Linked DNA regions of Drosophila melanogaster. The gene in region 1 interacts genetically with each later gene. Each region holds a gene or a part of one and is shown in the gene's direction. Other genes may lie near its edges.

Region 1 (7,245 bases):
GCCACAGGGATCCCTGGCCAGGAGATGGATTCCACGCAGGAGGTGCTCTGCCTGCTGGGTGTTTCGTCTTATTTTGGACCAATCAATTTTTATTGGGATATGCGAAGGCTAACAGAGGCCGATATCCTTTCTATTTAGGCTAAGAAAAGCAGCAATCATTACTGCTGATTACCTTGAAAACGAATTCAATTACCATTTATATCACATTGCTATCCACATTGTACACACAGCCAGATAAGCAATTTATAATTTGGGACCCCCCAAACTTTTCATGCCATCTACATCAACTAGTTTGGCTAGCCCACGCATCACTCAAAAAAAGCAACAGTGTTGCCAGCATTCGCAATTGTCCTGCGTCCTTGGGCGCGTTGATCACCCACTTTGACATACTTTTTAATTGCTTGGAACACGTGTCTTCGCCTTTTATGTATGCAGAATGTGCATGCGTCGGCTTGTAATTAAGCACGTAGGCAAACGCCTCCATTTCCTGCCCAGCAGGATGCTTTATGGCTGATTGAATTCCGTCAAAATGCCACTCCCGCCAATTTATACGTGCTTTTATGCGAGCTGTAATGCTGTTTTGGTAGTGCGAGGCAATTTTAATTTACTTTTAATTTTTAATAGAGCAACTAGTAAAGTCTAGCTACTTGCCTGATTACTTTTGCTTAGGGATTCAAGAAGGAAAGGATATCCATAAGGGTGTAAGATGCAACCTTGTACTTGGTTCTGTACACCCATTAATGAATATGCTTATTAAGTTCAATCCCCACTCCAGTGCCCACTCGGAGCCAGAAATTTCTTTTGTCCAATTTGCGTAACAAGTCAATGACTCAAGAACTCGTCTCTGGACACCCCTTTTTCTAATAGCCCATCAAGGATTTGACAGGCGACTAAACGGTAAACGGGCATTTAATGAGGAGCAGAAAAGGCAGCCGCCTCATTTCATCCAATTATCCTTGTTATGGGCAGCCGATGGTCCCATCCAATTATGCGCGATTTGACGATTGTGTGAGTGTCAGGGAACTTGGTTTCGGTCAAGTTTAATCATTAATAATTAGGAATGTCTTTATTGATTATTAAAGAGGGACATCACGCCGCCTTCAAAACATTCAATTAACAGTGTTATCAAGTTTTTCGACCGCAATATTTGGCTTCCAGTTGGTTATCTTTGAAACGCGACTAAGTGAGCGGATTATTCTTTGAAGCACATCAATTAAATCAAGTTACGGACCATTTAGGCAAAGCGAACAAAAATCAAACAGCAGCAGAAGTTAGCCAAAAAGTTTGACCAATATACATTTCGGCTAATCCCAGAAAAGTTTTTCCAACTTGTTTCATCTTTGAGCCGCTTTCGACTTACTGAATTTACTGCAAACGAAACACACTTATGTAATTTCTAGTAATTTGCTAGACTTCTTGACATTTGCGACGCTCTTCAGCAAATAAAATTAACGAAAGGTAAGCAAGTAATATTAATTTGCTTGACCTAATAAAGCCTTAGGCCAATCGTATAAGCCATTATTTTGATAGTAACATATTTTTGTATTTCAGTATTGATTGTTTCATGGTTTTGGTAATTACGAAAACCGCTTTCCTATGTTATACATGATTTTATTAAAATATCAAAACTTTCCCTTGTTCAACCCATTTTCCACTATCTGAACCGCTTTATTGCGAATTTCTCCCAGTTCAATGGAAATGTTTACATACCAGAGCGTTCTATAAATTGGTAGATATTAGTTTTGTTGACTAACCCATTTTTTTTTTTTTGATTTTCGGCTGATGTGTGCCGTGCGCTTTCAAATTTACAGACTTTTTATATTATTCACCAATTTACGCCCACTTGATGCTGTGCAAATTTGATTCACGAGCGTTTTGTTAGTTTTACTGGGAAATACTATGAGCTGATATTAAAACGTAGGAATTCGGTTATAAGTTTATATTCTCAAAACCAAAACGGTTCAGTTTACTAGACTAAATAGTTTTTACATTACGCTGTACAATTTTTGACAGGAAATCCAAATTTCTTTTCTATAATAAGGGCTTACGTTTTTAAAAATGACAAATATTTATTTATATTAGCAGTTAAATTAAATACAACATTGTGGTAAAAGTATTGAGCATTATCTACTTTGCTCTTTAAATTGACTATTTATTGTCAGTTATGTGATTTCCCATTTAACGTTATTTTAAAATTGCATTTAGTTGCTTCGATAACATTTTTCGATTAGTCACATTAGTTGATTATTTTCATCGCTTCGTGAGCTGTCACAGGTAAGCAACTATCGATATGCGCAAAGATCTGAATGTCACCACTAGAAAAACAAATATGGCGGAACCGAGCGTAAAAGTAAAAAAAGTCTAACATTTTGGAGTTTAAGCGACTCAAAATCATCTAATTTCGGATTGAAACCGAGTAACAAGATCCGCGCAGCGCTCTAAATATAAAGCTCGATATTTGGTGAACCAGAAACTAATTGTGCGGCTCGCGTTTGTTTTCGTTGGGTGATGCGATGCGATTTGGCCACCAATTTGTTATTACGTGACCTCAAGAACGCCGCAAAATTTCGCCAGGCCAAATCGAAAGAAATCGGAAAGTTAGTGCTGCAAAACAAAACTTGCTATTGGTGGCTAATGATTCAAGGCAGCCGCAATGCGATTTGACCGCCGGATCGGAACACACGAAATCGAAATCGCCTGAGATGCCAAGGGGCTTGCCGGCGCGAATCAGCAAGTGCGACTACTAGGACAGCCACGCGAGAAACCATGTCGGGCGGACGTGATAGCAGTACCAGTAGCGGGAGCAATTCTGCTGCGCCAGGGGCCAGTACGAATGCCACCTCCTCCGCATCCGCATCCGCCTCCTCCACATCCACATCCGCATCCCCTGGAAGTACAACATCGCCCGCGTCCACGCAACGGCAACGAGGTAGACCGGCCAAACGAGCCACATGCACCTGGTGCGGCGAGGGCAAGCTACCGCTGCAGTACGTCCTGCCCACGCAGACCGGCAAGAAGGAGTTCTGCTCGGAAACATGCATTGCCGAGTTCCGCAAGGCGTACAGCAAGGGGGCGTGCACCCAGTGCGACAACGTCATCCGCGATGGGGCGCCCAACAAGGAGTTCTGCTCGATCATGTGCATGAACAAGCACCAGAAGAAGAACTGCTCGACCAGGCACAGCGGCGGATCGGCATCGGGCAAGGGTCTGGCGGAAAGCGAGCGCAAGTTGCTGGCCAGTGGAGCGCCCGCACCAACGGGGCCCTTTCAATACGAGAGCTTCCACGTCTTCGACTGGGATGCCTATCTAGAGGTAAGTCAAGCTGGGATAATGCTTTAACCCCCAATCTCATACTTTTTGTGGTTTCCAGGAAACGGGTAGCGAAGCTGCTCCTGCAAAATGTTTCAAACAGGCTCAGAATCCTCCCAACAATGATTTTAAAATCGGAATGAAGCTGGAGGCTTTGGATCCGCGCAACGTCACTTCCACCTGCATTGCCACCGTGGTCGGAGTGCTTGGCTCCAGACTGCGGCTACGCCTGGATGGAAGTGACTCCCAGAATGACTTTTGGCGGCTGGTCGATTCTACGGAGATCCATGCTATTGGACACTGTGAAAAGAACGGTGGCATGCTGCAGCCGCCTCTGGGATTCCGCATGAACGCATCCAGCTGGCCCGGCTATCTGTGCAAGATCCTCAACAATGCCATGGTGGCGCCAGAAGAGATCTTCCAGCCAGAGCCGCCAGAGCCAGAAGAAAACCTGTTCAAGGTGGGCCAGAAACTCGAGGCTGTCGACAAGAAGAACCCGCAGCTCATCTGCTGTGCAACAGTAGATGCAATCAAGGATGATCAGATCCATGTAACATTCGATGGTTGGCGAGGGGCATTCGACTACTGGTGCAATTACCGATCGCGTGACATTTTTCCCGCCGGCTGGTGCGCTAGAAGTTGTCATCCCATGCAGCCACCGGGCCATAAATCGCGCATGGACTCCAGCTCTAGCAAACAGCGATGCCCTCGACCCCGCTACACTGTTGTAGCTGAGTCCGAGGCTATGGTTCCCGCTTCCCCTGCCACAGCCCACTTCCATCCGAACTGCAAGGGCGGTCCGTTCATCAACAATTCCAAACTGCCCTGCATGGTGACGGGACCCACCTACCAAACGCTGGCCAAGCTTTGCCTGCAGGAGGTTTTAGCTGCCAGCACGGATACGCAACAGCTCTCAAAGTTGCTGTTTGCCCTGGAAGGAGATGTTCATATCGTGACGGCAGCGGGGAAAAATTTCACAGTGAGTTCAAGATCAATTAAATTCAATGAAAAGCATGTTTAAAATATACTCTTCGTTTCTTAAAGGTAAAAATACCATCGCCAATGCGAATGAAGGATGACGAAAGCCTCGCCCAATTCATCGAAACGCTGTGCACTACATGCCGGGCATGTGCGAATCTCATTTCCTTGGTCCACGAGACGGAGGAGTGCAAGAAGTGCGCCAATAGTCGGAAGCGTCAACTGACTCAGTCAGCCACACCGCCTTCCTCGCCAGTGCTCGCCGACAAGCGAAACCGTCAATCCAACTCGGCAACGACATCACCCTCTGAGAAGATTATCAAGCAGGAATTGGCTGTCAAATCGCCAGTGGAGTCCAAGTCGAAAACTTCGACGAACAATGGCAAGGAGCCTGCAAGCCAGCAAAACAGCAATCACAGTCTCAACAATAACAACAACAGTGCCAGCAAGTCCAGCAACAAGGTGGTCATCAAATCGGAGCCCAACGGAGCGAACGCGCAGACTTCCTCCACAACGCAGGCTCTGCGCAAAGTACGCTTCCAACACCACGCAAACACGAATACGAATAGCTCTGCGACAAACGGAAACCAGGATACGAGCCAGACCACGCACGTATCTACCAGCCATTGCAGCAGCTCGTCAACGTCGTCCAGCACGAGCCTAGCCGGAGGATCGGCGAACACCAGCACAATTGGCAAATACCTGGCACCTCTTGTGGCAGAAGTTCATCCAGAGCAGGCCAATGTAAAGCCCTCGAATAGCTACTACAAGAGTCCGACGACGCTCTCGTCAAGCGCCTCGTTGCCGACATCCGTGTCCACGCCGTTCACGGGCTGCCAGTCAGCCTCGTCCACTGCACTGGCTGCAGGTGGAGTTACAGCGGCTAAGGCGGCCACCGCGCCGGCTGGAGCAGCGGCAACTGCGGGAGCTTCTCCGAGCTACACCGCGATTACCTCACCCGTGAGCACGCCCACTTCTGCTTTGGCAAACTCACATCTGCGGTCGCAGCCGATCGACTGGACCATCGAAGAGGTGATCCAGTACATCGAGAGCAACGACAACTCCCTTGCAGTTCATGGTGATCTCTTCCGAAAGCACGTAAGTAGTAGCTATTACCAATTACCTTAAATAAAGTAACTTATCTAATTTTCGTCTGTAGGAAATCGATGGTAAAGCTTTATTATTGCTAAATTCAGAGATGATGATGAAGTACATGGGCCTGAAGCTAGGACCAGCCTTAAAAATCTGCAATTTAGTCAATAAGGTCAATGGTCGTCGAAATAATCTGGCACTCTAAACAGAAAAACATTAAGTTTCAGGCAGCGGACTCGGTTCGGGTTTGACTTATATAGAAATTGTTAACAAATTAGTACCTCCCTTTAACGTAAAGCAAAGCAAACATGAACGATATTCATAGATGTGTTATGTGTTGGCCATTCATGAAGAAAAAACCCCTACCCTATTTTATTATATTGATAATATAAAACACGCTATAACAAATGTAATCGCGAAGACATGAAATTCCCTATACAAAATCAATCGCATAACAAATTATACACAGTCAAGCTCCGGTTTTCAAAACCATTATTATTAATTTTTTTCCAACTGCTCGTGATTCTTTTTTTGGAATACACATTTACAAATTGATTTATTTAGACAAAATTATTATACTTGAATTAGGAATTTTTATAGGTTTATTCAAATTTACCCAGTCAAAGGAGTGGAGTATTCGTACACACACAATAATTAGTTTATCCATCTATTTCGAAAAATGTGAAATAGTTCTCAATTGGACACAAAATGATTCGACTTTTTCGAAAACTGGAGCTCGGCTACCAAAATCGCAATGCACATACATTATATTTATTACACATAAAAACACGCACATTAGACACCAAAATCTATCCGACACAAAAGAAATGATAATTAACTTTAGAATAGGCGAGAAAATAAAAACCAATATTAAATGATTGTACATATTTTACATCTAATTTTGTAATTATGTATCAATTGCGTTTCCTAACTATAACAATATTTAATTAGTCATTAAACAGGTTGAAGATTTAATTTCTATTAAGTTATTGAAATTGAATATCAGTTTTTAGTTAATTATTCACATGCAGTTAAGGTCATTTTTGCATATAAGAAACGCTTCCTTTCAAAGTTTTGCAATATATGCGATATATAAATGAGAGTAACATTCGGTCGTGTAAAATATTGCAATAAGTCTCATTATGTTAACCCAGCATCCACTTACAAATACAAAAATTAAATAGAGCCAACTGTATATATCATTACGTAATAAACATTACAATTTGTTCTATTTTCAACAGTAAAATAACTGAAAGATGGTAGTCGGATTGGAAGGAAAATACTCAGGCTACAAAAATTCGACTAAAAATGAATCATTGCAAGAGTCAGCATTTGTTGAAAATATCCAAGAATTTAAGAAGCGATGATAAACAAGTCATATTATTATCATATTTATTTTTAACAAACAGATACACACGAATCTTTCCGCAACCTGGTCATTCGTAAAAGTGCTTCTGCACCCATCGAGGCAAGGCAAAGGCGGCGGAGTGAACCTCGGAGGAGTAGTACCTTAGGTCTATAGAATCGATTTCGGACTTTCCAAGCTTGGGAGTAGCGAAGTCCTGGTTTTTGTTCAGGGAGCCCATGACGAAGCCAATGTGGCCGCAGGGATAGGACGGAACGGAGGTGACGGCATAGGCCACCTTAGCAAAGTGCTCCTTGCAGCCGGACATGGTCTTCTTGATGTAGTCCAGGTCCAGCCAGAAGCTACCGCCCTGGGAGCACACGATTCCGTCATCCTTCAGCGCGTGTTTCATTAGCTCGTAGTAGCTTTCCTGAAACAGGCTCACTGCCGGACCAATGGGATCCGAGCTGTCGGTGATGATGACATCAAATTCGTTCTTGTGTTTCTTCATATAGTCGAAT
Region 2 (5,880 bases), on another chromosome or scaffold:
AAATAACCGGAAGTTTTCGTTAAGCTGTGTCTCTCTTTTGTTACTTTCTCTTTGCGATTTTGACACTTGGCATTGCTTCTCCCAATATAACTGTAACTGGCTAGCTTTTATCGCCTCTCATAGTTTTGACGTTTTCTCTGAGCTTTCTCTCATCGGCATTTCCGAGTTTTCTCTTTATGACTTTGACATTTACCGTTGTCCGTCGCTCCCGTCCGGTTGTGTGGCACGTTTTTCTGAATGAATCCGCTATTCGGGGCTTTCGCCTGGAGATGGGGTGGTTTGCCGTTGCTATTATTATTTCCTATATGCTATAAGCTTAATATTTTCGCCAGCCTTATCAGTTGGCCAGTTTTCCTAATCGCTATTCGTTAGTTTTTCGCTCCGTACAATTGAACTAGGTATTGGTTTTTCCCCTTTTTTGTTCGGTTGTTTGGTTGCTTGGTGTTTTGTTTGAAGCCACTAATTAAATATCATCTATGTAAATTGTAACTAGCTAAACATATTGACTAATATTTTATAGGTTATGCGCTAATTGGTGCTGTTTTCACTATGAATTAAACATTAATCTATTTATAGGGTTCGCAACAATTTGCTTGGTGTTTTTCTTTATGTTTTGGTTAAAGCTTTTGGTTAATTTCTCGTTTTCGTCGTTAAGTGTGAAGATTCTCCATGCGTTTCGCGTCCCTCGTCGAAAATATTGCGATTGATTTCAAGGGAATGGGTGTTATTTCAGTTGTTGGTCTTGGTGTTGTTGTTATTTCACTATCACAGCATAAATAAAATAATGTCATCGTCGTTGCCGCCCCCGCCACGCGAACCCTCGGCCAACATACAACTGGCATAAAATATCTGCAGTCGGCCACTTCCTTTCACATCCATCCTGAGCTTTCGGCGCTCTTGTGCTTTCTCACACTCTCTCCCGCACTTTCTCTCCCTCTTGAGGATGTGGCATTTGAAGAGTTCGAAGAGGGTAACTAGTTCAGTTGTAATCAAGTTAATTATCAAACTTAATTGAATAGGAATATGGGGCGAAGTATATGTGGCAATTTGTGATACAATAAGTGAAGCAGGACAAAGGAAAATCAAAACTCAATATGGGATGAAAGCAACACAACGATAAACGTTAACGAAAGTATAATATTTCGTTACCTGGAATTCAATTCAACATGCAGTTTAAAAAGAATACTGTACAAAGGATTCATTAAAAATGCGCTTATTAAAATTTGATTAAAAGCTATTTTATATTTAAGCTAATTGGTTTAACTTCTCGCCGGTTTAGTAATTTGTAGAAACGATAAAAGAAAATAGTGTATAAGGCAACAGCGCCAAAAAAATGTTTTCTAAAACATTTATATACCCCATTTATAAATAATAGAAAAATGTCAAGAAATTCTGAAAATATTTTAACAAAACATTTACATTTTAAAAACGCACAATTAGGTGTGTCTAGTCATCAAAGTTTTGAGTCTTTGCTAATTTTGCCAGGAAAGGGTGTGCGACACGGCTACTTGCTAAGATATGATCCCAGTTCTTTGTAGCACGGTAACTCTGCACCTCGCAGCACTATCGATTGTTTACATGAAAATAATCGAGTCGGACGACTATCGACGTACGCAGAATTGTAAACCAGAAGTTAATTGCAAATAAAACGAATAATAAAACGTTCCGAGAAGATTATTAATTAAAAATGACTGGTCGAGGCAAGGGGAGTAAGGGGAAGTTGGGGCGCGACAATGCGACCGACGATCCAGTCGATCTAGTGTACGCGGCTGAGAAAATCATCCAAAAGCGCGTTAAGAAGGTGAGATGAGCGTAAACAAATTCGAAAAAGGCGACCAAAACGGGATGCTCCGCTAAAAATGGCAAATGCAATATGCGCAGCACACGCAGGATATATGTATAGTCCACAAGGTCACATGTCCTTCGACATTTTTTGGCCAGAGGACATCTGCTGCTGCAACCACCATTTGCACGATGCATGTGTGTGTGCGTAGTGCGTTCGTATGTGTGTGTGTGTGTATGTGAGGCGTGTTTTTGTTTCGCTGAATGGAAAATCAATTAGTTGTCTAAGAAAATGCAATCCACCCCCACTCCTTCACTTACTCGATTTTCCAGGGCGTCGTGGAGTACCGTGTCAAGTGGAAGGGCTGGAACCAGCGCTACAACACCTGGGAACCGGAGGTAAACATCCTGGATCGCCGCCTCATCGACATCTACGAACAAACGAACAAATCCTCCGGAACTCCCTCCAAGCGAGGCATTAAGAAGAAGGAGAAAGAACCCGATCCGGAGCCGGAATCCGAGGAGGATGAGTACACCTTCACCGAAAACGATGTGGACACGCATCAAGCCACCACCTCATCGGCTACCCACGATAAGGAGTCGAAGAAGGAGAAGAAGCACCATCACCACCACCACCATCATCACCACATCAAGTCCGAACGCAACAGTGGACGGCGCTCGGAATCTCCGCTGACCCACCATCATCATCACCACCACCACGAGTCCAAGCGTCAGCGCATTGATCACAGCTCCTCCTCGAACAGCAGCTTCACGCACAACTCATTTGTCCCCGAGCCGGACAGCAACTCCTCCAGCTCCGAGGATCAGCCGCTGATCGGCACCAAACGCAAAGCCGAGGTGCTCAAGGAATCGGGCAAGATTGGAGTTACGATTAAGACCTCCCCAGATGGCCCCACTATTAAGCCTCAGCCGACCCAGCAGGTAACTCCCAGCCAGCAGCAGCCCTTCCAGGATCAGCAGCAAGCGGAAAAGATTGCCAGCGAGGCTGCAACGCAGCTGAAATCTGAGCAGCAGGCCACCCCACTGGCCACAGAAGCCATAAACACAACGCCCGCAGAGTCCGGAGCTGAGGAAGAAGAAGTAGCCAACGAGGAAGGCAACCAACAGGCGCCACAGGTTCCTTCCGAGAACAATAACATACCAAAACCGTGCAACAACCTGGCTATCAACCAGAAACAGCCGCTTACTCCTCTTTCGCCGCGTGCCCTTCCGCCGCGCTTCTGGCTGCCGGCCAAATGCAACATATCCAACCGGGTGGTGATCACAGACGTCACCGTAAACCTGGAGACCGTTACCATACGCGAGTGCAAGACGGAGCGCGGGTTTTTTCGTGAGCGCGACATGAAAGGCGATTCGTCGCCAGTAGCTTGAGCTTCGACCCAAACAAATGTCGGGAAAACAAACCGGAAAACTGATACAATTGTAAATAGACAAACCAAAATGCGAGAAAGTTGAGAGAAGAATTATGCAGAGAAATCCACACTAAATGTTGCTAAGCATTTTCTCTTTAGGACTTAACTAATTTATTGTATTTATTTTTAGCGTAGGTTTTAGTTTGTTGTTTTATTACAATGTTTAATGTGCAAGAGTAGTTTAAGCAAGCGCAAGTCGGGTATTTACTAAATGACTTTATATATACATAAATTTTCGCTCATTTTTTTTATCAGCATTGCAATGATTGAATATTTTCCTATTTAAATTAAAAATTTATTTTTCTGCAATATCACTTTTTAAGATTAATCTGGTTGTCATTTAGTGAATAGGCGAAATGCTGCGGCTGCTTAACTTGCCAATGCAATAGATTGTAAAACTTGCAGCGTAGATAAATATGTATGTACATGTTACATATATTTACCACATATTGTATATTTTTTATAACACTTTGAATCTGATTGAAAACAACACAAGACACTCAAATGCTAAGAAAACTCCATGCGAAACCGAAGCAATTGTTGATTACGCTTACAAATATATACAATAGAAGATGCATATATTCGAGTAGTCACCACCACGTTTGCCGAGTTGGCTATCCCAATGTTGTAATTGTTTAATATTATATTTCCTCGCGCCGACTGATTTTACAAAAGAAAACCCCAAAAACATATATACAATTGTAGATTTACAAATATTTTTAGACTTTAGCTAACCAAAATCTCTACGTAATATTTATTTTAACATGTTCTCTTAGCAGTCATTCAAGACTCAAGTGCTGCCTTTATGGGTTCAGAGCGGTGCAGTGCACAGATAATTCCAAATCGAGCCCATAGACTCATTACTTAAATCCTATGTCTATTTCACAATTTTTTTTCACGCTATGAAACAGAAAACTACGTGGGAGCTGCGGGGAATTTACAAACTCCTGCTTATTTCCCATGGGTCCTGTGCGTATGTTTCTATTTGTCTTAGCTCTTTATTGGCTAGTTTTAGTTACGGCGTAAATTCCACACAAAACAGCAATTCAAAGCGTATATTTTAAGCTTTTTAATATAGTTGTAAAGTCCCAAATGAGAAGACTTTACTCGTTGAGTTTTTGTAAGAAACTGATTTTATTTGGAATTATCTTCGGTTTAAATAGGTGACATGAGAATCGCATCTTAAAGTAAATGGCCTACGCAGAGGCCTAAGTAAATAGTCCCCGCCTTATCGAGGTCCCACGCTCGGGCACATCTGCCTATCTTGAGCGGCGAGGACCTTATCTGTGGTCTCCCACTAAGGGACTATTTTAGGAGGCGGGGAACGATCTCAAGTGACTGACTCATGTAGTGTGCACTTAAATTACATGTTTTTGAGCAATGCACCCATGTCGCCTTAGATAACAAAATCCTAAATATAATTTATCGCTCTCGATTCATTTACATAAGATATGAACGGAGCCCAAAATTGTAAGTCTTTAAATATATTCGTGTTCATGTGTGAACATTCTGCCAAAGGGCCAGCAAGCTGAGATGTACATTAGTATATTAGTTGCATTTATAACAGTAGTGGACTGTATTTATTTGATATATGTTCATTTATTTTGCAACTAAGATTTCAATGGGCCTAGTTTTTCTGGCTTTTAATTTTATTGGATTACAATTATGGTTTATATTATTTTTAATTCAACAATTTGTACTCAATTAACTTATTTTAAACATTTTGCTTTTTCTATGTAGAAGTACATTTTCTATTAGTGGACTGTATATTTTTATTTGTTATATTATTTTATTGTTTATTTACTATTGATATTTATAGTACTGGCAACGGACCTGCAAAGGTTATTGCTTGCATTCTTTGTTGCACAGCACATTTCCGTATGAAATATATTATTAATACTATCATTAGTATTAAAGCAATAATTAATCCAGCATGTCCGGAAATATGATGGAAATGTAAATCTTTCAATTTTTGATGGTTCTCTTTCATAAATTTAATTTCATTATTCAATCGTTCAAATTCCTCAGTATGATTTAATATTGATAGTTTCAGCGGATCCCAAATAATCTTCGGCACTCCACTAACTTCTCCTATATAAGGTGTTGATAATAATTCTTCACTTTCGGACTGAATGTTATGGTGGGCAACTAGAATTTTATCGTCGGTTCTTGCCGTACAATATGGCGCAATGCTTAAAACTCCTTGCTGAGGCAAATCAAACAATTCAATTTGAGAGCCAGTACATTGCAGACGGACTTTTGAATTCGCAGGAACCTTAAACAACCAACTACTTTTCTTTTCTAACTCTACCCAGTAACTTTTAGAGTCGACTACTGTTTTATAGATGCAGTTCGCCGCTTTATCTGGCTTTAGAGGCTGAATCTCACATGCATTATCATTCGCTGAATTCCAGGGCCAACTTCCTTTGCATATTCTCTTATTTAGTTGCCATTTCTGACATTGATTTAATGTGGCTTCCGTCATTATGTGATAGGAATCTATCTCAAAATTATAAATTAAATATTCGGACGTTGTATGCACCATTATTATCCGATCTTCATTTCGAATTGGCACCGGAATAAGCCTGAACAATTTGGATGGATGCTGCTAAACAGAGGCACTTTTGCACTAATGATCAATTTATCGTCGATGAATAAACCCCTG
Region 3 (8,605 bases), on another chromosome or scaffold:
ACCACCACCGACCATTTACCACTTTTGCCACTTTTTCCATGGATCGTACTTTTCGGGGCATGGCAAATGGCAGCGCTGATTTACTTTGCAATTACAGCCAACTGAGTGCCTTAGATGAAAGTGGGCGCCGGCTGAGGTTGGTATGAGGGGAGGGGGGGCGTGGCCCTTAGAAAGGGGGACCAAAGCAATGAACTAGAAAGCTGTCTGATTAGCGTGCAGCTAGCAAAAGTTTCTCCACTCACACACACACAAACACATACACAGATTTATTGAGCCCGCTGTCCGCGTCAATAATTTGCATGGGTTAAACGTACAGAGGCAAGAAAATCTGGGGGTTAAGTCAACCCAGACCAACCCCCCCAACCCCCCACCAGACCGCACTTCCTGTGACAATGGCTGGGGACTTACCTTTGCCGATATATATATATATATATATATATATACATATGTATGTAGGTGTGACTGTGCGGAGAGAGTATAAAAGTGTGTGTTGAAAAAAACTTTCTACGCCTCAGTTCAAGTTACTTCCTTTTCGCTTTTCAATACGGTGTTATTGCATTGCATTGTGGAATAGCAAACCAATTTAAAGAATCCCAAAGGTAGGGCAAAAAAAAATGTTCAATTGCAGGGCTAATAAGCAAAAATCAAGTTAAGGCCACTCTAAAAAAAATGAACTGCATACTTATACGTATGCAATTAACTTTATTATTGATTTAGAGCGCATAAAAACGGCAAACTAATTAATTACAGCATTCCCTTAGAGCATTTCATAATCGGTTTTAAGCACTTTTTGTTGTAATGCCATTTTTCAGCTCTTTCGCTGCTGCGACAGGCGAGTGACAATAAATTGTTAAGTGCAAAAAGTTTACAGCATTTGAGTGAGTTAGTAATGGCAAACACACACGAACACGAACTTCAAGACGGTCTAAACCCGATTCGAGCTCCACTCAACCAACATCGAAGAAGCCCCATAAGTGTCACTGAGCGAAAAACTCGGTTAGTTGGCAAAAATGAGTGAAACATTGACGTTTCTTTGTTGTCTGTCGCTAGATCGGCCCACAAAGGAAGTCTCTTACGAATCGTACATACATCTAACTTTGAGTCAGCTAAAGATCTTCAGTGAAATAGGAAAATCATTTATTTCGAACTTTGAAGCTGTTGTAGAGCAGAACATATATGCATTAAAACTGGCACATGAAATAATGTTACTAGTGCTGAGTGAGACTTCTACAAATATCACATGCATATGCATAATTAACTTGCAAATCGAATCAAAAGCTATTATTCTGAGCTAAACTCTCAAAAGAAAACCATATTCATTTGAAGACCACTTAATCGTCGTCAGCAAATTAATTCCTGCAGATTCCTCGGCAACTGCAACTGCTAACCTGTTACCACATCGTCCGTGAAAATGGTATTGATAGCCTCCCGGAAAACCCGTCCCAGTCGAGATCCATATCCTGGACCAACTGGCCCCGATGATGAAGATTGATAATGCCCGGACAGCTGATGGCGGCAGTTCATGATTCCGGGGCCTGAGATGAGGTGCTAACGATGACGACAACGACCGGAGTGTCCGAAGTACGGGTGCGGATAGGCGTACGGGAAACGGGGAGTGCGGAATGCGCATCATCAACAGTCGCCGTTTGATAAATCATGCATGCAAAGTACAGTGCAAACCCCCGAAACGGGACGACAACAGGCGGATTAACAAGAACTCTCTTATTCACGATAAGAAGACGCTTCCCACTCAACCTAATCAGTATTCAAAGACAGCCACTCAGCTTATGAGTACTGCCCAGGTGGGGTACTATCATATTGGTGCAAAGGTGGTCGAATTTTTAATTATTTTGAACGGAACACATTAGCTAAACATAAACATGTTGTCACTAGTATGTATGTAAGTTAATAAAACCCATTTTTGCGGAAAGTAGATAAAAAAAACATTTTTTTTTTTTACTGCACTGGATATCATTGAACTTATCTGATCAGTTTTAAATTTACTTCGATCCAAGGGTATTTGATGTACCAGGTTCTTTCGATTACCTCTCACTCAAAATGACATTCCACTCAAAGTCAGCGCTGTTTGCCTCCTTCTCTGTCCACAGAAATATCGCCGTCTCTTTCGCCGCTGCGTCCGCTATCTCTTTCGCCACCGTTTGTAGCGTTACGTAGCGTCAATGTCCGCCTTCAGTTGCATTTTGTCAGCGGTTTCGTGACGAAGCTCCAAGCGGTTTACGCCATCAATTAAACACAAAGTGCTGTGCCAAAACTCCTCTCGCTTCTTATTTTTGTTTGTTTTTTGAGTGATTGGGGTGGTGATTGGTTTTGGGTGGGTAAGCAGGGGAAAGTGTGAAAAATCCCGGCAATGGGCCAAGAGGATCAGGAGCTATTAATTCGCGGAGGCAGCAAACACCCATCTGCCGAGCATCTGAACAATGTGAGTAGTACATGTGCATACATCTTAAGTTCACTTGATCTATAGGAACTGCGATTGCAACATCAAATTGTCTGCGGCGTGAGAACTGCGACCCACAAAAATCCCAAACCGCAATTGCACAAACAAATAGTGACACGAAACAGATTATTCTGGTAGCTGTTCTCGCTATATAAGACAATTTTTGAGATCATATCATGATCAAGACATCTAAAGGCATTCATTTTCGACTATATTCTTTTTTACAAAAAATATAACAACCAGATATTTTAAGCTTACCATGAAGTCCTCATTTCTTCCACCTTTCATTCTCAAATATTTTCTTGCTACACTACACTACACTACACTACATTATACATCGACCCCAAATAGTTGGATGTAGTAGATCGTAATTAGGGACGCATAACCAGTGGTGGCGTGGGAGGAGTCGGCTTAAGTTGGCCAACAACATTGCTGGGTGTCTATAACTCTAGGCTTGCCAAGATACTAGATACTGTATCCGTATCCATTTCTGGTTGTGTACTCGCATCTTCTACCTGATCTTAATACCTCGTTGTTTGCACGTCTCGCTCGACGAAAAATGTACAATCTAGTCTTATCTGGGTCATTATTTGGCTAGACGAATGCTTTGGGCTCAGCATCTGATATCTAGGTATCTTCGTGCGTATCTTGCTTTAAATTCTTAGCACCTCGGCTTGTATAACAAAATAAATAAGTGAGTACGATTTGCATATCTAGCCCCGGGCTCTTTGAAACAATTTTGAAAAGTCTCAAAAAGTTATACAAGGAGATAAGAACTTTAATTCTTTTGGGAAGTAAGTAACGCAGTAAAGGTAACAAAGTATTGAAAAATATGATATGTATGGAATATTTGAAGCCATCTTTAATTATATGTTCGTTGCATATATGTACATATTGGGCCGTTTACGCTCTGATATTTCCTTAATAATATCGAGTGGTCGTCAGCTTTTCCGCTGAATAATTGCGCCTCCTTCAGTATTTCGTTCTCATCAAAGTGAATGACTTTTGAGTGCACTCATTAGCCACTCGCACAATCGACAAAACGGGAGGAACAACAAATTGAGTCGCTTCTTTATTCAGTCATTTCAATTTGTCAAGTTCATCACGATACTCCTTCGCCTCCCTGCACAGCGCCATCTAGCGCCCACTCCTCGAGTTTCCTTCGTATTTCGTAAGTAATTCAAAAATAGCACGCAAAGTAAATAAAAAAAAAAGTAAGCCAAAAAATTAAATAAATATGAAATGTAGCATCTTTCGCTACTTATTTCAACAAAATACGAAAATAGGGAAAAGGTGGGAGAGTAAACCAGAGGAGGCAGGGAGATAAGAAAACCCAGTGGGAAAGGGACGGCGAAAACAGAAAAGAAAAGAAAACTTTTTAATAACATTTTTCGGCCTCATTTGTTGTGAAAACAATTTCGCCATGTCCCTCTATCTCTTTCCCAGCCATATGGCCATCTCGCTCTGCTCGAGGAGTGCCTGAAAACGGATATTACATTTTTTCGCGTCTACCTCTCGTAACGTCACCAATTGTGCTTTTTTTTTGGTAACAGGCCAAAAACTGGACACTGAGTGGCTAGAAGAATAAGCTGTCAAAGCATCGCAGCAGAAGATGAGCAGTGAAGCCTCGCTAAGGAGGAAATGCAACAGTTTTCAGGCTTTGGTCTTTTAGCTAGATTTTATATGTAGCAATGTAAACGATAAATCCAAATCCCCCAATCGTTTTGAAAAATAAATTTAATTTTAAATAGTTCAAAAAATGAAAGTTCTTAGCAGGGCTCACTGTAGCAAGGACCGCCAGGCGCTGAGTGCAAGGTGGACATTATTTTTTCTTGCTTTTATTGAATGTCAGCTTTTTATTTGGCCCTCTTCTTCGGATTTTGCCTTTCTCATTTGCTTGCATTTTTTTGCTTAATTTTTTTTATGATTATTTATACAAATTATTATGAGAGCAGCGGCGGATAAAATGCTTTCCATATTGTGGCCATCATTTTGTCTTGTTTTTTCCATTTTTTTTTTTTTTTGCCTCGACGCCAATTAGTGGATCCCTGTTATTTATGCTTTGCCGCAGGCCGCTGCGATGGCAAGAAACCCCACAAATGGAAAACGGAAAATTGTTTATGAAAATGAAAATATGCGCGAACGGAAGTGGTATGGGGCGAAAAGTTGGGGCGGGGAGGATGGCTTGATTTGACCATACCGCAAACGTCTTCGGTTACCGCCATTTCGAAAAGGGAAGCCCCACCTGGGCGAAAACTGACAGCTCAGTGGTTTTGGAAATCACTTTACCCGTAAACAAAATAACGTAAATAAGAATTTGTATTTCGGATTTATAAACTTAAACTCAATTGCAGAAGTAGTAGTTTGAACACTATTGCGTTCAACATAATTGGATCAAGTAAATGGACTGCTTTATACTGCTCATTGCACTTATCTACAAGAGATTGAGTTTTCCCACCACCCAAAAAAAGCCAAAGTATCCTTAAAGTTTTATATTTAATAAAAACAAAACTGGCGAAGCTCAAAGTCCCCAAACGAAAGCCAAAGATGCCAGCGATTTACACTCGCAATTGTCTTATGAGGTGGCAACATGGTGGAGGAACCTTGCCACTGCCACCACCCATCGTCCCATCGCCCCATCGTCCATCGCCCAACGACCTGTGACCCCGTCAACCGTCCACCGCCCACTTTCAAGGCCATCCACCAAGTGCCAGCCCTAATTTGCACATTTTAAATAGGCCTCGCCATCTCCTTTTTGGGAAACTTGGAAAACTCGGATCTTGGGCATTTTTATTAAACAGATGGGCTCCTTCTTTATAAAGCCGAGGGGGGGGGGGGGGGTTAGTGCCCGGAAACAGGGACGGCGGAGCAGGGATTGGCCAGGCTGGGCTAGATTTATGCACAGACGCCTTCATTTTTATGGACGAACGCCGTGAAATTGAAAAGTTTTCAGCTTGAAACCTTTTCTAGATGCACAAAAAATAAATAAAAGTATAAACCTACTTCGTAGGATACTTCGGGGTACTTTTTGTTCGGGGTTAGATGAGCATAACGCTTGTAGTTGATATTTGAGATCCCCTATCATTGCAGGGTGACAGCGGAGCGGCTTCGCAGAGCTGCATTAACCAGGGCTTCGGGCAGGCCAAAAACTACGGCACGCTCCGGCCACCCAGTCCGCCGGAGGACTCCGGTTCAGGGAGCGGCCAACTAGCCGAGAACCTCACCTATGCCTGGCACAATATGGACATCTTTGGGGCGGTCAATCAGCCGGGCTCCGGATGGCGGCAGCTGGTCAACCGGACACGCGGACTATTCTGCAACGAGCGACACATACCGGCGCCCAGGAAACATTTGCTCAAGAACGGTGAGTTTCTATTCGCAGTCGGCTGATCTGTGTGAAATCTTAATAAAGGGTCCAATTACCAATTTGAAACTCAGTTTGCGGCGTGGCCTATCCGGGCGAACTTTTGGCCGTGATGGGCAGTTCCGGTGCCGGAAAGACGACCCTGCTGAATGCCCTTGCCTTTCGATCGCCGCAGGGCATCCAAGTATCGCCATCCGGGATGCGACTGCTCAATGGCCAACCTGTGGACGCCAAGGAGATGCAGGCCAGGTGCGCCTATGTCCAGCAGGATGACCTCTTTATCGGCTCCCTAACGGCCAGGGAACACCTGATTTTCCAAGCCATGGTGCGGATGCCACGACATCTGACCTATCGGCAGCGAGTGGCCCGCGTGGATCAGGTGATCCAGGAGCTTTCGCTCAGCAAATGTCAGCACACGATCATCGGTGTGCCCGGCAGGGTGAAAGGTCTGTCCGGCGGAGAAAGGAAGCGTCTGGCATTCGCCTCCGAGGCTCTAACCGATCCGCCGCTTCTGATCTGCGATGAGCCCACCTCCGGACTGGACTCCTTTACCGCCCACAGCGTCGTCCAGGTGCTGAAGAAGCTGTCGCAGAAGGGCAAGACCGTCATCCTGACCATTCATCAGCCGTCTTCCGAGCTGTTTGAGCTCTTTGACAAGATCCTTCTGATGGCCGAGGGCAGGGTAGCTTTCTTGGGCACTCCCAGCGAAGCCGTCGACTTCTTTTCCTAGTGAGTTCGATGTGTTTATTAAGGGTATCTAGTATTACATAACATCTCAACTCCTATCCAGCGTGGGTGCCCAGTGTCCTACCAACTACAATCCGGCGGACTTTTACGTACAGGTGTTGGCCGTTGTGCCCGGACGGGAGATCGAGTCCCGTGATCGGATCGCCAAGATATGCGACAATTTTGCCATTAGCAAAGTAGCCCGGGATATGGAGCAGTTGTTGGCCACCAAAAATCTGGAGAAGCCACTGGAGCAGCCGGAGAATGGGTACACCTACAAGGCCACCTGGTTCATGCAGTTCCGGGCGGTCCTGTGGCGATCCTGGCTGTCGGTGCTCAAGGAACCACTCCTCGTAAAAGTGCGACTTATTCAGACAACGGTGAGTGGTTCCAGTGGAAACAAATGATATAACGCTTACAATTCTTGGAAACAAATTCGCTAGATTTTAGATAGAATTGCCTGATTCCACACCCTTCTTAGTTTTTTTCAATGAGATGTATAGTTTATAGTTTTGCAGAAGATAAATAAATTTCATTTAACTCGCGAATATTAATGAGATGCGAGTAACATTTTAATTTGCAGATGGTTGCCATCTTGATTGGCCTCATCTTTTTGGGCCAACAACTCACGCAAGTGGGTGTGATGAATATCAACGGAGCCATCTTCCTCTTCCTGACCAACATGACCTTTCAAAACGTCTTTGCCACGATAAATGTAAGTCATGTTTAGAATACATTTGCATTTCAATAATTTACTAACTTTCTAATGAATCGATTCGATTTAGGTGTTCACCTCAGAGCTGCCAGTTTTTATGAGGGAGGCCCGAAGTCGACTTTATCGCTGTGACACATACTTTCTGGGCAAAACGATTGCCGAATTGCCGCTTTTTCTCACAGTGCCACTGGTCTTCACGGCGATTGCCTATCCGATGATCGGACTGCGGGCCGGAGTGCTGCACTTCTTCAACTGCCTGGCGCTGGTCACTCTGGTGGCCAATGTGTCAACGTCCTTCGGATATCTAATATCCTGCGCCAGCTCCTCGACCTCGATGGCGCTGTCTGTGGGTCCGCCGGTTATCATACCATTCCTGCTCTTTGGCGGCTTCTTCTTGAACTCGGGCTCGGTGCCAGTATACCTCAAATGGTTGTCGTACCTCTCATGGTTCCGTTACGCCAACGAGGGTCTGCTGATTAACCAATGGGCGGACGTGGAGCCGGGCGAAATTAGCTGCACATCGTCGAACACCACGTGCCCCAGTTCGGGCAAGGTCATCCTGGAGACGCTTAACTTCTCCGCCGCCGATCTGCCGCTGGACTACGTGGGTCTGGCCATTCTCATCGTGAGCTTCCGGGTGCTCGCATATCTGGCTCTAAGACTTCGGGCCCGACGCAAGGAGTAGCCGACATATATCCGAAATAACTGCTTGTTTTTTTTTTTACCATTATTACCATCGTGTTTACTGTTTATTGCCCCCTCAAAAAGCTAATGTAATTATATTTGTGCCAATAAAAACAAGATATGACCTATAGAATACAAGTATTTCCCCTTCGAACATCCCCACAAGTAGACTTTGGATTTGTCTTCTAACCAAAAGACTTACACACCTGCATACCTTACATCAAAAACTCGTTTATCGCTACATAAAACACCGGGATATATTTTTTATATACAAACTTTTCAAATCGCGCGCCCTCTTCATAATTCACCTCCACCACACCACGTTTCGTAGTTGCTCTTTCGCTGTCTCCCACCCGCTCTCCGCAACACATTCACCTTTTGTTCGACGACCTTGGAGCGACTGTCGTTAGTTCCGCGCGATTCGGTTCGCTCAAATGGTTCCGAGTGGTTCATTTCGTCTCAATAGAAATTAGTAATAAATATTTGTATGTACAATTTATTTGCTCCAATATATTTGTATATATTTCCCTCACAGCTATATTTATTCTAATTTAATATTATGACTTTTTAAGGTAATTTTTTGTGACCTGTTCGGAGTGATTAGCGTTACAATTTGAACTGAAAGTGACATCCAGTGTTTGTTCCTTGTGTAGATGCA
Region 4 (8,463 bases), on another chromosome or scaffold:
GATCTAAATGTATCTTTTGCTTACATTTATAAATTTATATAGCTTATATTATAGAGTTTCCTGAAATGAAATCCAAACTCACCCCTCAACTGAAAGTGACTCAGTCCATGGCGGCCGCCTGCACTTCATCATCGCCATCATCAAACTTAATGTGCTTGCCCAGCATTTTGCCCACTTTCTCGCGACCGCGTTTTTGCTGCACGCGCACCTTTTTCGAGAGTTTCGCCTCGCGATCCTGCTCGATTTTTCGCCAATAGAGCGTCTCCTGCTGGCCAGAGAGCACTTTCAGCTGCCTCTCGGAGCAGTTGACCTGGCGTAGCAGTTCCTCGGCTGCGGCAGGCGTGCCCAAACGTAGTAGGGCCACTTGGTCGCCCTCCTTAATATCCACATATTTAATATCCGGATATTGGCGCATTTCAGCCTTAAATTCTTTAACATTGGTGCATGGTTTTAGCAGGGAGCACTCCACAATCAGCCCGGGCTCGTATTTAAAGAGCGGCGTGCGTTCCTGCGAAGGTTCTTCGGATTTGGTGGATTCCACGCCGCCGGCGCCGTAGAAATTCATGTTCATCTTGTGCACCGCCTTGCGACGCTTGGCTGGCACAGGCGCTGCTTCTACGGCACCTTCACCGCCATCGCTAGGGACCTCGCCTCCGGTTTCCTCCTCTTTAACTGCCTCGGGCAGCTGTGAAGGTTTCGGATGGTTTGGATGACTGGTCTGCTGGTGGTGAGGGTGCTGCTGATTTTGTGGGTGATTTTCTCGCCACAGCTTGCTCTTTGCCTCACTGACGATGCGACGCTGTAGATTCAAGTACTTATTGCGCATACTGCTCCAACTAGTCTTGGGTAGCACCTTGAGCTCCAGGGCACTGGGCTCAATGTTTGGCTTGTCCACGATCGCCTTCTTCTTGCGCTTGCGACGGCGCTTTTTGGCAGCTTCATCGCCATCGGTTGCCTCTGTTTTGTCCTCCTGCTCGGAGGCTTCGGCTGTGCCCTCTGCATCCGTTTCACTCGCTGTTTCCCCAGCTGTAGAGGTCTCGCTAGGCTGGCCCTCCTCCAACTTAACCCGTTTCACCTCGTGTATCTCCTCGCGATCCTTGTCGGTGGCCTCCCTTTTTAGATTTCGCTTTGGCAACTCAACCTGTTCAGCCTCTGACTGCGGCTGCTCCGCTTTCTGTTGTATCTGCTGCTGCTGCTGAAAGGAGCGCACACTGGCCAGATCACTGGGATCGGTTTCTACGGACAAAACGCCCTGTATCTGGGCAAAAGCCTTCACAGCTTTCTCCAAGGACCCGCTCTTTTCGAACTCGATAAAGGCAAATTCCTTGATCTTCTTAGTGCCCGGATAGTGGGGCAGGGACACGTAGGCCACCGGTCCGTAGCGGCTGAATACCTCCTTCAGCCAATCGTGAGTGGCATTTGCAGGCAGGGCCTCTACATACAAGGTTTTGTCGTTGACATCGCGCTGATCTGGTAGCTTGGTACGTCGCTTGACCTTTAGTTCGGTCTCATCCAGCTCCAGAAGCTGGGAGTTGCTTAGTGCCTTGGCTATCTGCTGCACATCCTGGGTGAGCGTCTTTATCTTATTGAAAGTGAGAAAGATTTCCAATGGTACATCTGTAAAAGAATAACATGATCAGTGTTATGTTGGCTGGTGAGCCAACCTTAGCTACTCACATGGATCCTGCTCTACGTAGCGCCGAAGGAAGCGATCCTTGCTCAAGTTGGCGTCACCGAAGTAGAATTCCATTTGACCGCGAATCGAATTGAACAAATGCCTCTTCCTTTTGCGTCCACCATCCTTTTTATCCGGCGATGCGTCTTCCGGCGCCGGTTCTTTGGAATTTTCCTCAGCTGGTTCAGTGGGTGCGGCTGGATCGGGTTTCTCCGCTGATGTCGCGGGCTCCTGACCCTCGCCCTTCTCCTTCTCGATACTCTTGGCAGCCATTGAGTGCCAGTTAACCAGTAATCTAAGTCACTCGAATAAAATATTGCACTTGGTTTTTGCGTTCTGATCTATTTGGCAACGCCGTCTAGTTATGAATTGCTGGGATGCCAGGTATTTGCAGCATTCCCATATCGATAGTTTAACGAATATCGGATTCTAAGTACTGTAACGTACACATAAAAACGAATTGAAGCAAGACCATCAAAGCAATAAAAACTGCTATAATTTGTTTTAAGCGAAAGAGACGTATTTCTTTGCTTTAATTATTACCATTATTTCCCACGCTCCTAATAAGGCTTGGCAGCCAAGCGCAAACAACGGGACTATATCGATAGTTCGGCGCTGTGGCAACCCTACTGCGTTGTTTTGGCGGGCGGCAAAAAAAACACAGATGCTATGCTAACCTATGTGTGTTGTACAGTGCGCCGCTAGAATCGGCAACAACAAAACGAAAATAGTCGGCGAATAGGCGAGAAAATGGTTTATTCTCTCTCGAATTAAAGCGCTGATTCAATTCCGACTAACTATTGAGTGATTAAACCTGCAACAGTCAATAATAAGGCATTACAAGTGCGTTCGATAAACCTAAAGTCTTGCAAGCGAAAAAAAAAAGAAAGGCAAGGCGAAAAGCGAGTGGATGGTGACGCTTAGCTGAGTCGGAAAGTCCAGCCATGGAGTCGATTGTCCTGCATTCGGACGTGGCTCGCTTGGTCCTGGGTAGGTTTTCCCTGGACGCTTTTCTAGCTCGCAATATTTATGCTCTTCCATTTTGTAGGCTACCTAGTCAACCAGAATCTAAAAAGGGCCGCACACACTCTGTGTCGCACATCGCCTCACCTGCGCCACGAGTTCCTGGCCCTTAAACAGGGCCTGCAGACGCACAACTTCCTTCACGGGGGTCTGGAGGAGATAATCTGCGAGCATGTCAAGATCACAAGCTTGGGTAAATTAGCACGCTCCTTGCGTTTCTTTTTTTTTGCGGCTGACCGAAAATCTCTCTTTTCAGTGGCCGGTGCCGTGCAGAAGCTGCCGCTGGATATGCGTATGCAGCTGCAGCAGATGAAGCTGTCCGAACGGGTCAGCGAACTGATAGCCGCCGGCGAGAGGAGTAGCTGTACCAATGAAAGCAGCACCCCAGGCGAGCCCACCATATCACAGTCGCATCGCAAGAGAAGGCGCTTGTAATTATAGATTTTTCCTTGACACAAGCACATCGGAATTCTCATTGCTCTCTTACCCCTTTTCCCCAGGCGCACCCATTCTCCCGTGAACAGCATTTCTTCGCCTTCGTTTAGCAAGCGACCGCGTCTGCTGCCGCCACACTTCTACTGCAGCGTTAACCGCGACAAGGTCAGGCAGAGTTTCCTAGGCAGCCAGGATGACTGCGAGGCGGAACTGGACGAAGAGGATGGCGAGAGCACAACGGCCACCGAGGACTTGGAGGAGGATGACTTACTTCCGGCGAATGGTCCTGGTCCGCGCAACAATTCCACGCCGCGCCAAGGTCATACCGAGTCCAATCCACTTCTGCTCACGCCGCAAAGCATGCCTGTAAGTCCATAGACATGCTTAATGCATATCTGCTTAATTAACCAATAGTGCATCTATTATGTATTCTAAACAAAAAACACTCTTTCGATTTACATTGATTTCAGGAACTGGCCTGCGCGATAATTAAGAATCAGGACTTCCAGGAGACGCTGGTAAAGAATATTAACGTAGCGCTGCAGACGGTGACTGTTAACAATCCGTCGGTAAGCTGTGACGCCATGTTGGATGGTCTAGTGAAGAACATACTGGAGGCCACCGAGAAGGATCCCTCGTTCGATCGCATCATACAGGAGGTGGTGATCGGGGATGAACCATTGGCAAATGAGGAGGACCCTGGTGTGTCGCCTGCCTCTGATGCTGCTGGGGCTGCTATTGTTCCCGCTGCTGATGGAGATGTGCTGCCGACAGAACAGGCCGTGGATCCCGTGCCGCCGCAAACACCGCTTATTATTCGCACCGCCGTTGCAGCCACCGCAGGAACCAATGCAGATCCCAATTTCTCCATCTCCAAGCTTATCGTACTGAACTCCAACGAGAGTGTCCAAAAAATGGTTGCTGGTTTGGATACGTCCAATATCAGCTTTACAAGCGAAGGCCTCAATATAAATTTTGCCGATCCAGCGTCAATGCTCAGCGAGGTGGAGGCGACAGCTGCTGGTCAGGTTTGTGTGGACGCCACCACCGGGCAGCTGACGTTTCCCATGTACCTCTCGAACGGTGGACTGCTGTCGCATCTTCCATTCCTGGTGAACAACGAGTGGGTAGCCCAGCAACTTGGGCCGGATGCCTTTGCCAACATTGATGACTCGCACATTGAGATATCGCTGCCGGAGCCGATTACTCTGTCTGCCAATCAGCTGCCCCCCAATTCCATTATCATTAGCAGCGCCCAGAAACAACCACCTCCCCCAAGCGTGGAGCCTCCAGTCCAGTTGATAAAAGATGCAGCCAAAGTGGACAACAAGGCGGGCCAGGGAACGGCGGCAAAAGAGCAACCGATAGATCAACTAGAGGAGGAGCAGCGAAAGTTTCCACCCGCATCCCTGGATTCATCTAGACAAGTCATGGAGAGAGTGACACCCTCGACGTCGGGAATAATTAACGTAAAGGCCTTTCGTAGCTTATCCACTCCCCGAAAGAGAACTTCGCATGTACGAACATTAACTTTTTCCCCTAAGGTTCCTCCTGGTGGCGTCCTGCATTCCAATACGCCGCTGTCCACTAGGCGACCTGGTTTGCTGGCCAAAGCCCAAGAGAAGCCAATTATCAACCATGTGGAGATCATCCAGGCCGCCTGCGACCTGAGCTCAAACGAGGGCCTTGGAGGAGTGCCACCACTCTTCGCCATGGAGGAGTGCAGCAATCAGACGGTGATCAGGGCCCATCCTCCAGCTGCCGCTCCGTCAGCAGCTCCGGTTCCTCCGTTGGTGGCCACGCCCAAAAGAAAACAGAAGCGACAAGCAGCGGTCAAGGCCTGCAAGCGAATCATCTCCCAGGCGGAATCGGAAACCAAGACGGATAAGGATCAAAAGAAAATTATGCCCAAAAATAACTCTGCCTGCAGCGCATCGTCGACCGCTCACGATGACAGCGCCGAGGCCAGCAAAGAGAATCTCCAGGAGCAGCAGAAGATTGAAGGAAAGCCAGATGTAGGCTCCGCCGCCAGAGGAGACGCAGTTGTAGATAACGATATGGCCGCCTGGCAGCGCCAGTTGCATGGCTCCAATTCTGACCTTGAAAATCGGCTGCGTGAGATTAACTCCAAGCGCGAGGAGGTAAAGGCCTCCGGCCGCTCGAGGCGTCCAAAGAAGAAAGATACACCCACTTCAGCTTCGTCGAGAGCACGAAAGGCTCCAATGGTCAAAGCGAAGGCGGAGCCCATGAATCTGGCAAAGAAACCGCAGCGCAGTGTTGGGGATTCCACTGAGAAGATCAACATCAAGATTATCACTCCTCAGAAACCAAAGCTCCTGAAGAAAAAGAAGGTGTTTGAGGCAAAAGAAGAAATCATAGACGAAACCATAGAAGAAACCATAGACGAAACCCAAGCGGAGATCGAGGAAAAGGATCAGAAGAAGAAAAGTGAACAAGGATGCATATATGCAAAGGATCAGGAGCAAGCGAAGGCCTTAGCGGCAGAACTGTCGCGACCCAACATGGCCATGCTTCTGGACACTCCGTTTAAAGCATCTCCCATTGGAGCAGGAGCAAGCGGAGCCGTAGAAGATGACACCACATCAAAGGAAGCTGGTGTTGGTGTAGCCGCTATCATCCCACCCACGCCAGGAATGGCCATTCCACCTCTGGACACGCCATATGGCAAGTTGCCCAGTAGCAGCTTTCTCTTTGGTTCGGATACCAAAAGTATTATGGATACGCCCCAGTTGAGTGCCATCACACCTGGATTTCGCTTGACACCTTTTGGACAGATGCCCGGTACTCCGATAGGCAGTGCTGCCAAGACTGAGTACTCTTCAGGCAGTTCCTATTATCGTCCGGATGAAGCGGAACACACCGATGCGAATGCGCAGTGCGCAATACAACAGTGGGGTGATCCGCAGGATAAGAAACAACCCAAGGTTCGGTCAACGCCCAAGAAGAAAAAGGTTGAGGCAGAGGATGAGCTTTCGCAACAGAAGAATCAAGAGCTAATAGAAATGGAGTGTTCAAAGAAAAGCCTTCATCCGGAGGACAAACATGCTGAGGACAATAAGAAAACACCGAAAAGACCAGAGAAGCCAATGGATGAACATCTGAAGGAAACTGAAAACGATGGTGAAAAGAATGAAACGGTTTTAGAAAAGACACCAGATGCTGTGAAGCAACCCGTTGTCCTGTCCTTGGAGCCCACCGTCCTTCGACGCGTTCGATCCTTTGGCAGTGAGGCGGTGGACAGTGCGGAGTCCGCTACAGCTGGCTCATTTCCCTCCGATCAGCAGCAGCTTCCGCACTATAAACTTTTGCCTGGCCTGCCCGAGGCAATTATTGAAGGATCTAGTAATTCTAGCTCCTCGGCAACCAGTTCATCGTCCTCATCCAGTTCGAGCTCAAGCTCCTCCAGTAGTTCATCATCGAGTTCCTCATCCTCGTCAAGTTCTCACAGCGGAAAGGGGGAAAGCAGAGGGGAAGAGGCAAATGGCGAGAATGCCGACGAAAAGTGCAGCAAGAAAAAGGAGATGCTACTAAACATAGATAACTTATCGAACATTAGCAGCACGGAAGACGAAGAGTGGCTGAAGGCAGCCGGTTCTGAGGATGCAGTTCTGCCCATGCTTGCTATCGACAGTCAGCCAGGTCAGTTAGTTAGCCAGGACGGGGAGGTCCGCTATCCTATCCGGAATTGGCTGACACCAAGCAAAGAGCAGGCCCAGGAGACGGATACCAGTGGAGAACAGCAAACAAAACCTACACCTCCTAAACCGGTGGCTGCTCCTGTTCCGCCTCCGCCGCTTCCTCTAACACCGCCAGCTGCTCCTCCGCCGCCTCCACCGCCTCCGCCAGAGGCGGACGATCCTTCATCCGTCGCTCTTCCAACGGCCTCTACAAGCCGTCAGGAACACCAACGCCAGCAGCTGAATGAAAAACGCCAACGTGTAGTGGCCAAGTTTAAGGAGCAACCCCAACCGATCAAAGGTCAAGGGAGAAAGACTGCCAACAAGAAGCTCACTGCAATGCGTGAAAATGCCAAACTGGCCAATCCAAGCAGTCAAAAATCGCCAAAAAATCGAAAGCACATCGAACCACTGAAAACAAAAGCAGCTAAAAAGCAAATAGAACCAAATCCGAATGTTAAGTCCACAGAGGCTACTGGTCCGCCAGTCGGTGCCGCCACAGATGCGCCAGCAGATCCGCCAGCCGGCAAATTGGATCCCGCTCTGCTCATGGCCCTCAATCTATCTGCGAAAAAACAGGAATCATTACCGATTGTAATCAAACCAAAGGTAAATCGAGCAGCGGTTGAAATTGCGGCACAGCCTGCCCCTGGAAAACGTGGACGCCCGAAAAAGGTACAGAACGGGGAGCCAGCCAATCTCTGTATGCGACGATCCTCGCGCCTAGTCGAAAATAAAAGTAAGTAGTTAAGATCCAATCGAATGGGTATTGAAACTAATATATTGTCTTTGCAAAACTAGCTCCTGCTCCGGAAGATCTCTCCAAATCCACTGAAGGAGCAAAGACGAAGACCCAAATCAAGGCAAATACCAAGAAACCGGCCAAGAAACGTGTCGAGGCAAGGGTACCCTCCTCCACAACCGATGCTCCGGCACTGCCCATTGTAGCGGAGGCGGAATCCACCCAAAAATCTCCAAAGCAAAAGCCGCAAATTCAGCAAACAATACAAGAACCTAAACAGGATCCACCGCCATCGAAATGCGATTCGGAGCCCGATGACAGCGACTTCGAGCAGGACATGTGCCTGAGCAGCAGCCAGGAGCGTTTTACCTATAATTTCACATATGCGGACAACGGACCAAAGTCCAGCAATCCGATGATACGTCAGCCATCGAGCTATTTCAAAAGCTATCAGATGCGCTTGATGACCGATGACGAACAGCTGCATACGCTGCGCATAGCCAGTGCCCAGGTGCTCTGTCTGGGCCAACCGGTGGCCAGCGCCATTCGCAATATACCCAAGAAGCGGATACGCCGCCTGACCGGCAATAGTGGCGGGACAGCGGCAACAGGGGGAAGTGCAAGTGTAAGTGGAGGAAGTGGAACGGGAGCGGAAGTTGCTGCTGCTGGCGAACAGCCTTCGGCCACGTCTACGCCGCTGGTGGAGAAGCCCCCATCCAGGAGTGGGCCGCAAGATGAGGAAGATCTGGAGGTGGCCACCATGTAAGTGGTGAACATATGCATTTTATTTTTTGTATGCTTATCATAATAATAATACCGTTCTTTAATTCATGCAGCAATTCAGCTCCGATAGCAGCGAACAGCAGCAGCGGAATTGGCGGCGAGGAGAC

The links.
Region 2: of Scm (region 1) and Pc, changing one enhances a phenotype caused by changing the other (phenotypic enhancement), as found in Drosophila melanogaster (2 studies listed by BioGRID).
Region 3: of Scm (region 1) and w, changing one suppresses a phenotype caused by changing the other (phenotypic suppression), as found in Drosophila melanogaster (4 studies listed by BioGRID).
Region 4: of Scm (region 1) and mxc, changing one enhances a phenotype caused by changing the other (phenotypic enhancement), as found in Drosophila melanogaster (2 studies listed by BioGRID).

What each region holds. Positions count from the first base shown.
Region 1 is NT_033777.3:9,632,677-9,639,921, reverse strand, and holds Scm (Sex comb on midleg), read left to right. Parts: upstream 1-2,310; 5' UTR 2,311-2,766; coding exon 2,767-3,312; intron 3,313-3,370; coding exon 3,371-4,288; intron 4,289-4,353; coding exon 4,354-5,385; intron 5,386-5,446; coding exon 5,447-5,584; 3' UTR 5,585-6,563; downstream 6,564-7,245. Other genes in the region: SpdS (spermidine synthase), read right to left, coding at 6,816-7,245. UniProt on the Drosophila melanogaster protein: Polycomb group (PcG) protein. PcG proteins act by forming multiprotein complexes, which are required to maintain the transcriptionally repressive state of homeotic genes throughout development.
Region 2 is NT_037436.4:21,313,718-21,319,597, reverse strand, and holds the start of Pc (polycomb), read left to right. Parts: upstream 1-1,577; 5' UTR 1,578-1,687; coding exon 1,688-1,801; intron 1,802-2,115; coding exon 2,116-3,174; 3' UTR 3,175-4,292; intron 4,293-5,880.
Region 3 is NC_004354.4:2,790,072-2,798,676, reverse strand, and holds w (white), read left to right. Parts: upstream 1-2,210; 5' UTR 2,211-2,368; coding exon 2,369-2,440; intron 2,441-5,548; coding exon 5,549-5,822; intron 5,823-5,896; coding exon 5,897-6,551; intron 6,552-6,612; coding exon 6,613-6,928; intron 6,929-7,131; coding exon 7,132-7,263; intron 7,264-7,333; coding exon 7,334-7,948; 3' UTR 7,949-8,078; downstream 8,079-8,605. UniProt on the Drosophila melanogaster protein: ATP-dependent transporter of the ATP-binding cassette (ABC) family which transports various molecules including bioamines, neurotransmitters, metabolic intermediates and second messengers.
Region 4 is NC_004354.4:9,237,361-9,245,823, reverse strand, and holds the start of mxc (multi sex combs), read left to right. Parts: upstream 1-2,356; 5' UTR 2,357-2,619; coding exon 2,620-2,665; intron 2,666-2,723; coding exon 2,724-2,891; intron 2,892-2,954; coding exon 2,955-3,129; intron 3,130-3,198; coding exon 3,199-3,499; intron 3,500-3,603; coding exon 3,604-7,570; intron 7,571-7,632; coding exon 7,633-8,335; intron 8,336-8,409; coding exon 8,410-8,463. Other genes in the region: Larp7 (La related protein 7), read right to left, coding at 101-1,617, 1,678-1,948.